2 linked regions of the Neurospora crassa OR74A genome follow. The protein of the gene in region 2 binds, or shares a complex with, the protein of the main gene of each other region. Links are inferred from orthologs where the notes say so. Each region holds a gene or a part of one and is shown on either strand. Other genes may lie near its edges.

Region 1 (4,431 bases), on a different chromosome or scaffold from region 2:
AGAGTGAATGAAACAATTAAGTTAGAGGGGATATTGCGTATATTTAAAAAATTCGATTTAGTGGGCAAAAACGGGAATTTGAATATTAGGTGTCATCCAGCTGTAGTCCCACTTTTCTTTGTAGGGGAGGGTACGTGTAGGATTCAACAAGGTGCGGGGAGGCTTTCCTATTATCTACTACTTATTATTACCTACTACTGTCTACTATTTAGTATTATAATTACTATATAGAATAAGAGGTATTAGTACGTTGGTTAGTAGTATAGAAAATGAAATTATAATTCAAATGGAAGTTGCAAATACGTTAGGGACCAACTATAAGGGTAGGTAGGAGAGGGGTAGGAAAAGGGGAAGGAAGGGGGTAATATTATAGGGCTAGCGCCCGGGTTATAGACTTTAGTTTTTAGAACTAGAATTATTATCAACTATAGTAGTATAAAGCGCGCAGCCTCAATAAAAACCTCTTAACGCTAGTAGATCCGCATTTTATATAAACGTCTCCTCCTTTATAGAATATTAATCAAGCTATACGACCAGTACCCGTATCAACTGTGCTGCCCCCGTTACACCTTATAGCAATAACCTGAATTGGAAAATTCAAGATTACTAGACAAAACGGCCAGTATTATATAACAGCTGTTATCTAGTAGAAACAAAGTACCTCTAAGGAATAGGGTAGGTGCGAGGAGGGATTCTCGTGATATATTACGGGTCTACTAAATATAATACAGCACCTAGGGTATACTAAAGCTTAATGTTATTAACAAAGCGGAAAAGGTTTGTAGGCTGGGAAAGGCCTACAGCCCGGAAGCTAAGTACTAGAAGAGAACAGGTGGCCTAAGGCATCGGCCAACTAGGGAGCGTGCCTCGGCTCTGCGGCTAGGCATCATATCCCCAGGCGCCAGACCCATTACACTCACATCCCAATGACTTAACTCTCAATACTCTGTTGTTCTTATCATTGTTCAACCCATATGATATGGGAGCACTAGAAGCCCGGTGCAATACACACGATCTTTGATTTTTTGCCACTACAACAACCTAAAGAAGCATCTTCCTGGGGTCCTCAATGTACTCCTTCACCTTAACCAGAAACTGGACAGCCTCCCTGCCATCAAGCAGCCTGTGGTCGTAGGTGAGAGCCAAGTACATCATGGGGCGAATTTCAACCTTTCCATTAACAGCAACAGGTCGCTCCTTGATAGCATGGAGACCCAAAACTGCGCTCTGAGGAAGATTGATGATCGGGGTACCCATTAAGGAGCCAAAAACGCCTCCGTTGCTAATGGTGAAAGTGCCACCGGCCATGTCCTCAATGGTGAGCTTACCATCACGAGCCTGCGATAACAGTTAGTAAGGTAATATAAGCACTCCATAGGCGCGGGAAGCCGTACCTTTTTGCCCATATCAGCGATGGACTTCTCAATGCCAACGAGGTCCATGGCTTCAACATTGCGGACTACGGGAGTGACAAGACCCTTCTCGGTGGCCACAGCGACACTGATGTCAACATAGTCCCGATAGACAATGGTGTCACCGCCATTGGGACCCTCAATCGAGGCATTTACGGCCGGGATATCGCGCATGGCCAAGACACATGCGCGGGAAAAGGCACTCATGAAGCCGAGCTTGACACCGGTCTTCTTAAGGATCTCGTCCTTGTACTGCTTGCGGAAATCCATCAGGCCCGACATGTCAACTTCGTTGAATGTGGTAAGCGAGGCAGCCGTGTTCTGGGACTGCTTGAGACGCTCGGCGATGCGGAGGCGCATGCGGTTCATCTTGACCTGGAGGGTGTTAGTTTGACCGATTCACCACTCCGTTTGCTCAGGAGCCGTTTACTTACTCTGCGCTCCTCGCGATTGCCCAATGCAGCCGGGGCCTCCTTCGCAGGAGTACTCTCCTGTTTGGGGGCAGGAGTTTCCTTCTTGGCGGGCGTAGGAGCAGGAGCAGCGGCGGGCTTGGTCTCCTTCTTAGGCTCCGGAGCCTTCTCAGGAGCAGGAGCGCTGTCCTTGGGAGCAGCCTCCTTGCTCTCGGACGCGGCCGGCTTTTCGGCACCGCCCTCTTTGGGCGCACCACCAAGCTCTAACCGGACGATGTCCTGGCCGACTGTGACAGTGTCCTCCTCATTGACGAGGAACTCCTTAATGGTACCGGCCTCGGGAGCGTTGACGGCAACATCGATCTAGAACCCAGTGGCAGAAGCAGTTAGAAAGCAAATATATGTGCCGCTGGCGAGCTATGACCGTAGAAAGAGGCAGGACAGGGGGGCAGACAGCATGTGCTCCAAGCGGTCTAGGCTCCGACACCGGCACGGGACTAAGGAAGCGTCGTACACACCTTGTCGGTCTCGATGGTCGCGATCTCTTCGTCCTGCTCGACATAGTCGCCAACCTTCTTGTTCCACTGCTTCAAGGTACCCTCACTGATGGACTCGGCCATTTGGGGGACTTTGATGACCTGATCGGCGTAGGTGCGGACATGCTGGAACTGCAGGGGAAGCTGCCGGAGTGCGGGCGTCGCATTGCAGAGCGCGAGTTTGGGAGCGGCGCGAGCCGCAAGACGAAGACCTTTGTACAGCATAGTAGCGGGATGTCGGGCAAAGGAGCAGGAGTTGGTAGGGACGCAAGATAAAGATGTGCCTTTTGAGAGGTTTTGTAGGACCAAGGTTGGGGGGAACAGCGTCGGATGAAGAACGCGAAATTGGCGGTTGTGATGAGATTTGTCGTGAGGCTACAGGTCCCGTTCTGACTCGGCGACAATGACGCAGCACCCAGCACAGAAATCTGCCGGGACAACCGGAAAACTAACGGTCAGATCGTCTGCGACCCAGAGGAAGGGTACATTAACTCAATTGCATTTTAGATATCGTATAAGCTGTCAAATTCACTCCCGCATAATAAGCGACTCCCGCGCATTTCCAACAAGTTCTTGCACCAGCATATGTTTTGCACACAGTAGCTCTACGCGACCTTTTTTTTTTTTTTTTTTTTTTTTTTTTTTTTTTTTTTTGCGCTTTCTCCGCACCGCACGGCAGCGCAGCACACCAGCCTCACCGTACCTGTTACCTCTAGGTAGTGTAGTGTCCATGTCACACCTGTAAACTGAGTAAGAAGAAACTACACTAAGTAGAGTCCCCTACCAGCCTACCTAGAGTAGGTAAGCCTATCTGGCCGTCCTTCACGGCGTCACGGGGTCAGCCTCGCAGTTTGCTGGGACGGGGAACATCTTCTGGAAACCAAAGGAGCTATCGCAAGAATCATTCCGGGGTGCGACCCGGTAGCCTGCACGGTCCAGGGATCAGCCTGCACCGAACACCTCCATAGCACTTAAATTATCATTCCAAACAAGCCTCCCTAGGTTTTACCCTATGGACGGATCGATGTTCCCCTCAGGCAACCGGTTTATTGTCAAGCATCACGCTTGAGTGTGAAAGGTACCCGAAAGACAGCAAACCTAACAATCTACGTATAGACGTACAATTCCTATCATCCCATACTGGGCACCATTTTCTTAGCGTTCAAGTGCTCATCCATTTTCTATCCTATTGTCCGTACTCAGAGTACCCTGGACCCCCTCCCCAGCATGTGCGCTAGCTCGAGGCTAGCATGTCGTAGACGCTTGGACCTCTGGTTCGCTCATCCGTCCGGGTCACCGTTTACACCGTCGGAGTAACGGATCTTAAATATGGGTGTCGGATCACCCAGGTCTCGAGGCTTTTAGACCGCATTGGTATTCATCACGTCCCTCGTAGGCAATTAGCGATTTGCCTAAGCAATCTCAATCGATCAGGTTTAAGTTACTCTTGCCTACTATATGAATGTAATAGCAAATGAATAGGGACGTCATCGTAATCTATAAAGATAGGTAGTAGCTGCATGTGCCTCCAATGGCAGTGTCCAAAGCACAGATTTGACTAGTTTTGGGTAGCCAAGCAAGACGCAAGGCTTGTAAGACTCGGCAAAGCAAAGATCACTTCCCTTCTTGGTATGTACCTAGTGGAGTGAACTGCGTACACAAGTAGACGAAATGTGAACCCAGTAATGTATATCGCCAGGTGCTGAAGTGATGATTTGTGCCTTAGGCAGCCACCCTCCAGTACGGAAGCGCGTCCTGCAAGCCCATCCAAATCGCCTGTGTAGAGCCCCCGGTGTCAACGTACCTCTTCCCAATTGCGCAATTGCGGATTCCCCCATCATTCCAATCTTATCCTACCATTCACCGCCTCAGCCCGAAATCGCACGACAGCCGATTATCACTTGTCTCTACCGTAGCCAAAGAGGTACGTGCTAAGCTGTTGGACAAAAAAGAATATACGCCTACAACGTACGTTTCGTCGAGCTCCACGAGCGGGACCCACGGTGAACGAGTCAGTTTAATCCACCATGTCGACGCGACCGGCTGTCTTGTCAGTATATCCATGTCCTCCAT
Region 2 (4,249 bases):
CCGGTACGCTGCATCCACTTGCTCTCACCAGAGGCAAGGAACTGATCAATGATGACCTGAGCAGTGTTGGCGAAATCACCGAACTGGGCCTCCCACATGTTGAAGCCGTTGGGGTCCTGGAGAGAGTAACCGTACTCGAAACCGAGGATACCATACTCGGAGAGGGAAGAGTTGGAGATGACGAAGGGGGCCTGGTCCTCGCTGATATGCTGGAGAGGAATGTAGGTGTCTTCAGTCTCCTGGTCGTGGAAGACGGCGTGGCGCTGAGAGAAGGTACCACGCTCGACATCCTGACCGGTGATACGGACGTGGTGGCCCTCCTTGACGAGGGTACCAAAGGCAAGAGCCTCAGCGGTAGCCCAGTCGATGCCCTTGCCCTCCACAACGGACTTGGTGCGGTTGGTCAGGATACGCTTCAGGTTACGGTGGGCATGGAAGCCCTCGGGAGTGCTGCCAATGACGGTACCAATGTGCTCAAGGGTCGGCTTGTCAACCGCGGTAGGCATGTGGGGGAGAACCTCGCTAGCAAGCTCCTTGGGGCTCTTGAAGTTGTTCCAGGCGCTGGTGGTCCACTCCTTGGAAGTGGGCTGGTAGTCCTTGGACTTGGAGAAGCTCTCCTCGAGCATGCCCCAGACCCACTGCTTGTGCTCCTCGATGTCCTCCTTGGTGAAGGTGCCCTCCTTGAGGAGCTGGTCAACGTAGATGTCGATCTGAGGGCTCTTTTCGCTGATGCGCTTGTACATGAGGGGCTGAGTAAAGGCAGGCTGGTCGGTCTCGTTGTGGCCGTGCTTGCGGTAGCAGACAAGGTCGATGATAACATCCTGCTTGAACTCGGCACGCCAGTCAGAAGCGAGCTGGCAGACGAAGTTGACAGCCTCGACATCGTCAGCATTGACGTGGAAGACAGGGGCGTCAATGGCCTTGGCGATATCCGTGCAGTAGGCAGTGGAGCGGGCAAAACGGGGGTCAGTGGTGAAACCGATCTGGTTGTTGACAACCAAGTGGATGGTACCACCGGTAGAGAAGGCGGGGAGGTTGTGGAAGCCCAAGCACTCGTAGACGATACCCTGACCAGCGATGGCGGCATCACCGTGGAGGAGGACACCCATGGCGCTCTTGTGGTCACTCTCGTCGTTGTTGTAGTGCTGGATGGCGCGGACCTTGCCGAGGACGACGGGGTCCTCAGCCTCGAGATGCGAGGGGTTGGCAACGAGGGAGAGCTGGACGCGCTTGCCCGAGGGGGTAGGGCGCTCGAAGTTCATACCCAAGTGGTACTTGACATCACCGGAACCCTCCTCATCGGCACCGGCCATGCCGGCGAATTCGGAAAAGATGGCCTCGTTGGGCTTGCGGACGACGTTGGAGAGGACGTTGAGACGGCCACGATGGGGCATACCAATGACGATGTCCTTGACGCCGTAGTCAACGGAGCGGTCGATGAGGGCCTTCATACCAGGAACAAGGGTCTCGCAACCCTCGAGACCGAAACGCTTGTCGTTGGGGTACTTGGTGGCGAGGAAGGACTCGAAGCTGGAGGACCAGATGAGGCGGTCGAGAATGCGGCGCTTCTCATCGATCGAGTACTTGAAAGGCTGGGGGATCTCGAGACGCTCACGGAGCCAGTCGCACTTCTCCCTGTCGGGGATGTGGATGAACTCGACACCATAGGAGCCGCAGTAGATCTTCTCGCAGGCGTCGATGATCTCGCGGAGCGTCATCTTCTCGCGGCCATCGCGGGCGAAACGGGGGAGGATGCCGGGGCCGAGGCTGTACTCGGTGTCGAGATCCTTCTCGGTGAAGCCGTAGTATTCGGGGGTGAGCTCCTTGGGCCTGATGTTGCCGAAGCCCTTGGAGGCAGGAGTGTTGCGGATGCCCAGAGGGTCAATGTTGGCCTTGTGGTGACCACGGGCCTGGTAGGCGCGGACGAGGAGCTGGACCTTCAAGTGGTTGGTGACGTTGGCACCCTCGCCAATGCCGACGCCGGCGCCGGCAGCGAGACCGGGCACCACGTTGGCGGCACCGGGAACCAGGCTGGGAGGAGGCTGGAAGGCCTGGGAGATGGGCATGTTGCCGCTCTCCATGTTCTTGAAGTAGACCTGCCACGAGACGTGGACGCTCTTGGGGTCCTGCTTCCACTGGAGGTACATCTCGTCGATATAGTTGGCGGCGCTGCCCGAGAGGAAGTTGTCGTTGGGGTCGGGCGGGCTGTGGAGGGCGCTCTCATGGCGCCTCTGCTGGGAGACGGCCAGGGGACGGCGGCCAACGGCGGGCTTGAGGGAGGCCCTGGTGGTCTGGGCGACCTGGGAATAGCATCGTTTTGAGGCGCCTGCGGTCTGCAGGGCCCGGATGGAACCGCGCAACATGATGGGTGGCTGTTGTGAGGTGAGGGTATTAGGACGCAGAAACCGAAAGCGCAATCCAAGCAGCGGGGTTTTGTTTTGTGTGTACAATCTGGAAGAGGGGAGATTTGGGGGGGGGGGATGCGCAAAAGGCAAAAGGAGCGGCGGAGTAAGTCTAGGTCTCGGTCGTCGTCGTCGACTCTTGAGGGGGGGAATGGGGAGAGAGGGGGAGAGAAGACGAGAGGATCGAGATTTGGAGGGGAGGGGGACGACAGACGTTGGTGTTTTTGATGTTTCGTTGGTGTCGGGGGAAGGGGCGGCGGGAATGCAGCGACGGAAAAAAAGGGCCTCACTCTGCCCGCCGTGCAGGTGCGTCGAGTTGCTCCGTCCACTCACTGGAGTCGGGCGGTCGGTCGACCTGTCGGTGCAAACTGCAAGAGCGAGCGAGTGCTGCCGTCCAGCTGTGCTGCTGTGCATGCCTGCTGACTCCCGTTCTGCCCGCCCTGTGGAATTGACAGAACTAACGAACTGAATTGAGTGGACTGAAGTAGCTCGTACAGTGAGCATCAAGGCATCTGCACGGCTCTGTGGAGGGGACGATGACGGCACTTGCTGAAGCACAAGTGAGGCTCCCTCCCCCTCGGCTCCCGCCGTTGCGCCGCTACAAGCGCACTCAGTGCAGTGCGCCCTGGATGCTTCTCTTGGCCATAGCTTTAACATTGTGGAGCCGGCGAAACTGGGTGGAGCTACCCAGCTTCTCGCACTGGGAACAAATACATCGAAGACGCCCGGGACCCAACAAACTTGAAGGGGACATCAATGTGAGATTCTCTCGGTACCTCCATAGCCGCAAACTCGCCTACCTTCAGTTATTTACTGCTCAGTCTGCTACATACCCATACGTAGTAGCGTACACAATGGAATACACGAAGAGATATCATATCCATCATCTACTCGAATCCGTCCTCCCTCTTGTTGTTTGTCCAAAAGTCACGACGGAGTTCACGGTTCGAGCGGTGACCACGGTAACAGCAAGCATAACCGGAAGTCGTGGAGTTTCTGTGGTTTCAAGGAGGGGGACGGGAGCTGTGTCTCCATGACAAGTCATCGGGCACGCAGCAAACTGGGAAAGTGTGGAAGAGCTGGAAGTTACGGTCTGGAGAGTGCTACTGTAATTATTTCATTACGCATTGGCTCCCGCACCTCCCGTCGAGACTGGAGTTGGAGGCTCCGAGACCTGACCCGAGTCCCTTTTCCCCGGAAATCACGGTTCCCGTCTTTTTGGACCAAGTATCCAATCTTACCGTGGAAAGTGGGGAAAACTTCCATGTCCGAGGTGGAAATGTACGGTAACGCTTTCGGTCCCATCTTTGAGCGCGAACTTTTCGAAGCTTTCGCTTGGGGCATCGAACTGATGGAACTGCGCTAGACATGGTCTGGTCGGTATCCTGGGTTATGGGTTTGGGTTCAATTAGCTACTTGGCACTGACCGCCTTGTGACTTGCCGTAGTATCATGTGACTTTTGCAAAAGTCATTTATCAAATCCATTTTGTCAAAGAAGAGACAAGCGAACCGAGTCTAGATCTCGTCTCGATCTCGTCTCGAGTGGTTTATCGAAATGACTTTGAGGTTTGGCTGTTGGTTTCGATTGTGTAATTCACTACAAAATCCTGCATCGTCAGCTGCCACCTTCAACTTCTTCTTCATTATTGAGCCAGTTGCAGCATTGACTGCACGTCACAGTGTTAAATCCCCCAACTCTCATTGGCTGGCCGTGACTGGTTCGCTGCAGTGCAGTTGCTGTTGTCCAAGCTCTGCGCTGGCTTCAGATCCTTGGCATTTCCCACCCACGGCACCTGCAGCAGTTCGTCGCCCAGAGCTCAGGTCCTGTGGTGGCCAGAGATCCGAC

What was found.
Region 1: tca-7 (region 2) and NCU02438 share a complex: the UniProt entries of both Saccharomyces cerevisiae proteins name them as parts of the 2-oxoglutarate dehydrogenase complex. The link is inferred for Neurospora crassa OR74A from reciprocal best matches to the Saccharomyces cerevisiae genes KGD1 and KGD2.

Annotation. Positions count from the first base shown.
Region 1 is NC_026507.1:2,482,223-2,486,653, forward strand, and holds NCU02438 (dihydrolipoamide succinyltransferase), read right to left. Parts: upstream 2,980-4,431; 5' UTR 2,584-2,979; coding exon 2,341-2,583; intron 2,186-2,340; coding exon 1,847-2,185; intron 1,788-1,846; coding exon 1,395-1,787; intron 1,339-1,394; coding exon 1,042-1,338; 3' UTR 682-1,041; downstream 1-681. Other genes in the region: NCU11258 (LYR family protein), read left to right, coding at 4,386-4,408. UniProt on the Saccharomyces cerevisiae protein: The 2-oxoglutarate dehydrogenase complex catalyzes the overall conversion of 2-oxoglutarate to succinyl-CoA and CO(2).
Region 2 is NC_026502.1:1,594,173-1,598,421, reverse strand, and holds the start of tca-7 (2-oxoglutarate dehydrogenase E1 component), read right to left. Parts: upstream 2,835-4,249; 5' UTR 2,817-2,834; coding exon 1-2,816. UniProt on the Saccharomyces cerevisiae protein: The 2-oxoglutarate dehydrogenase complex catalyzes the overall conversion of 2-oxoglutarate to succinyl-CoA and CO(2).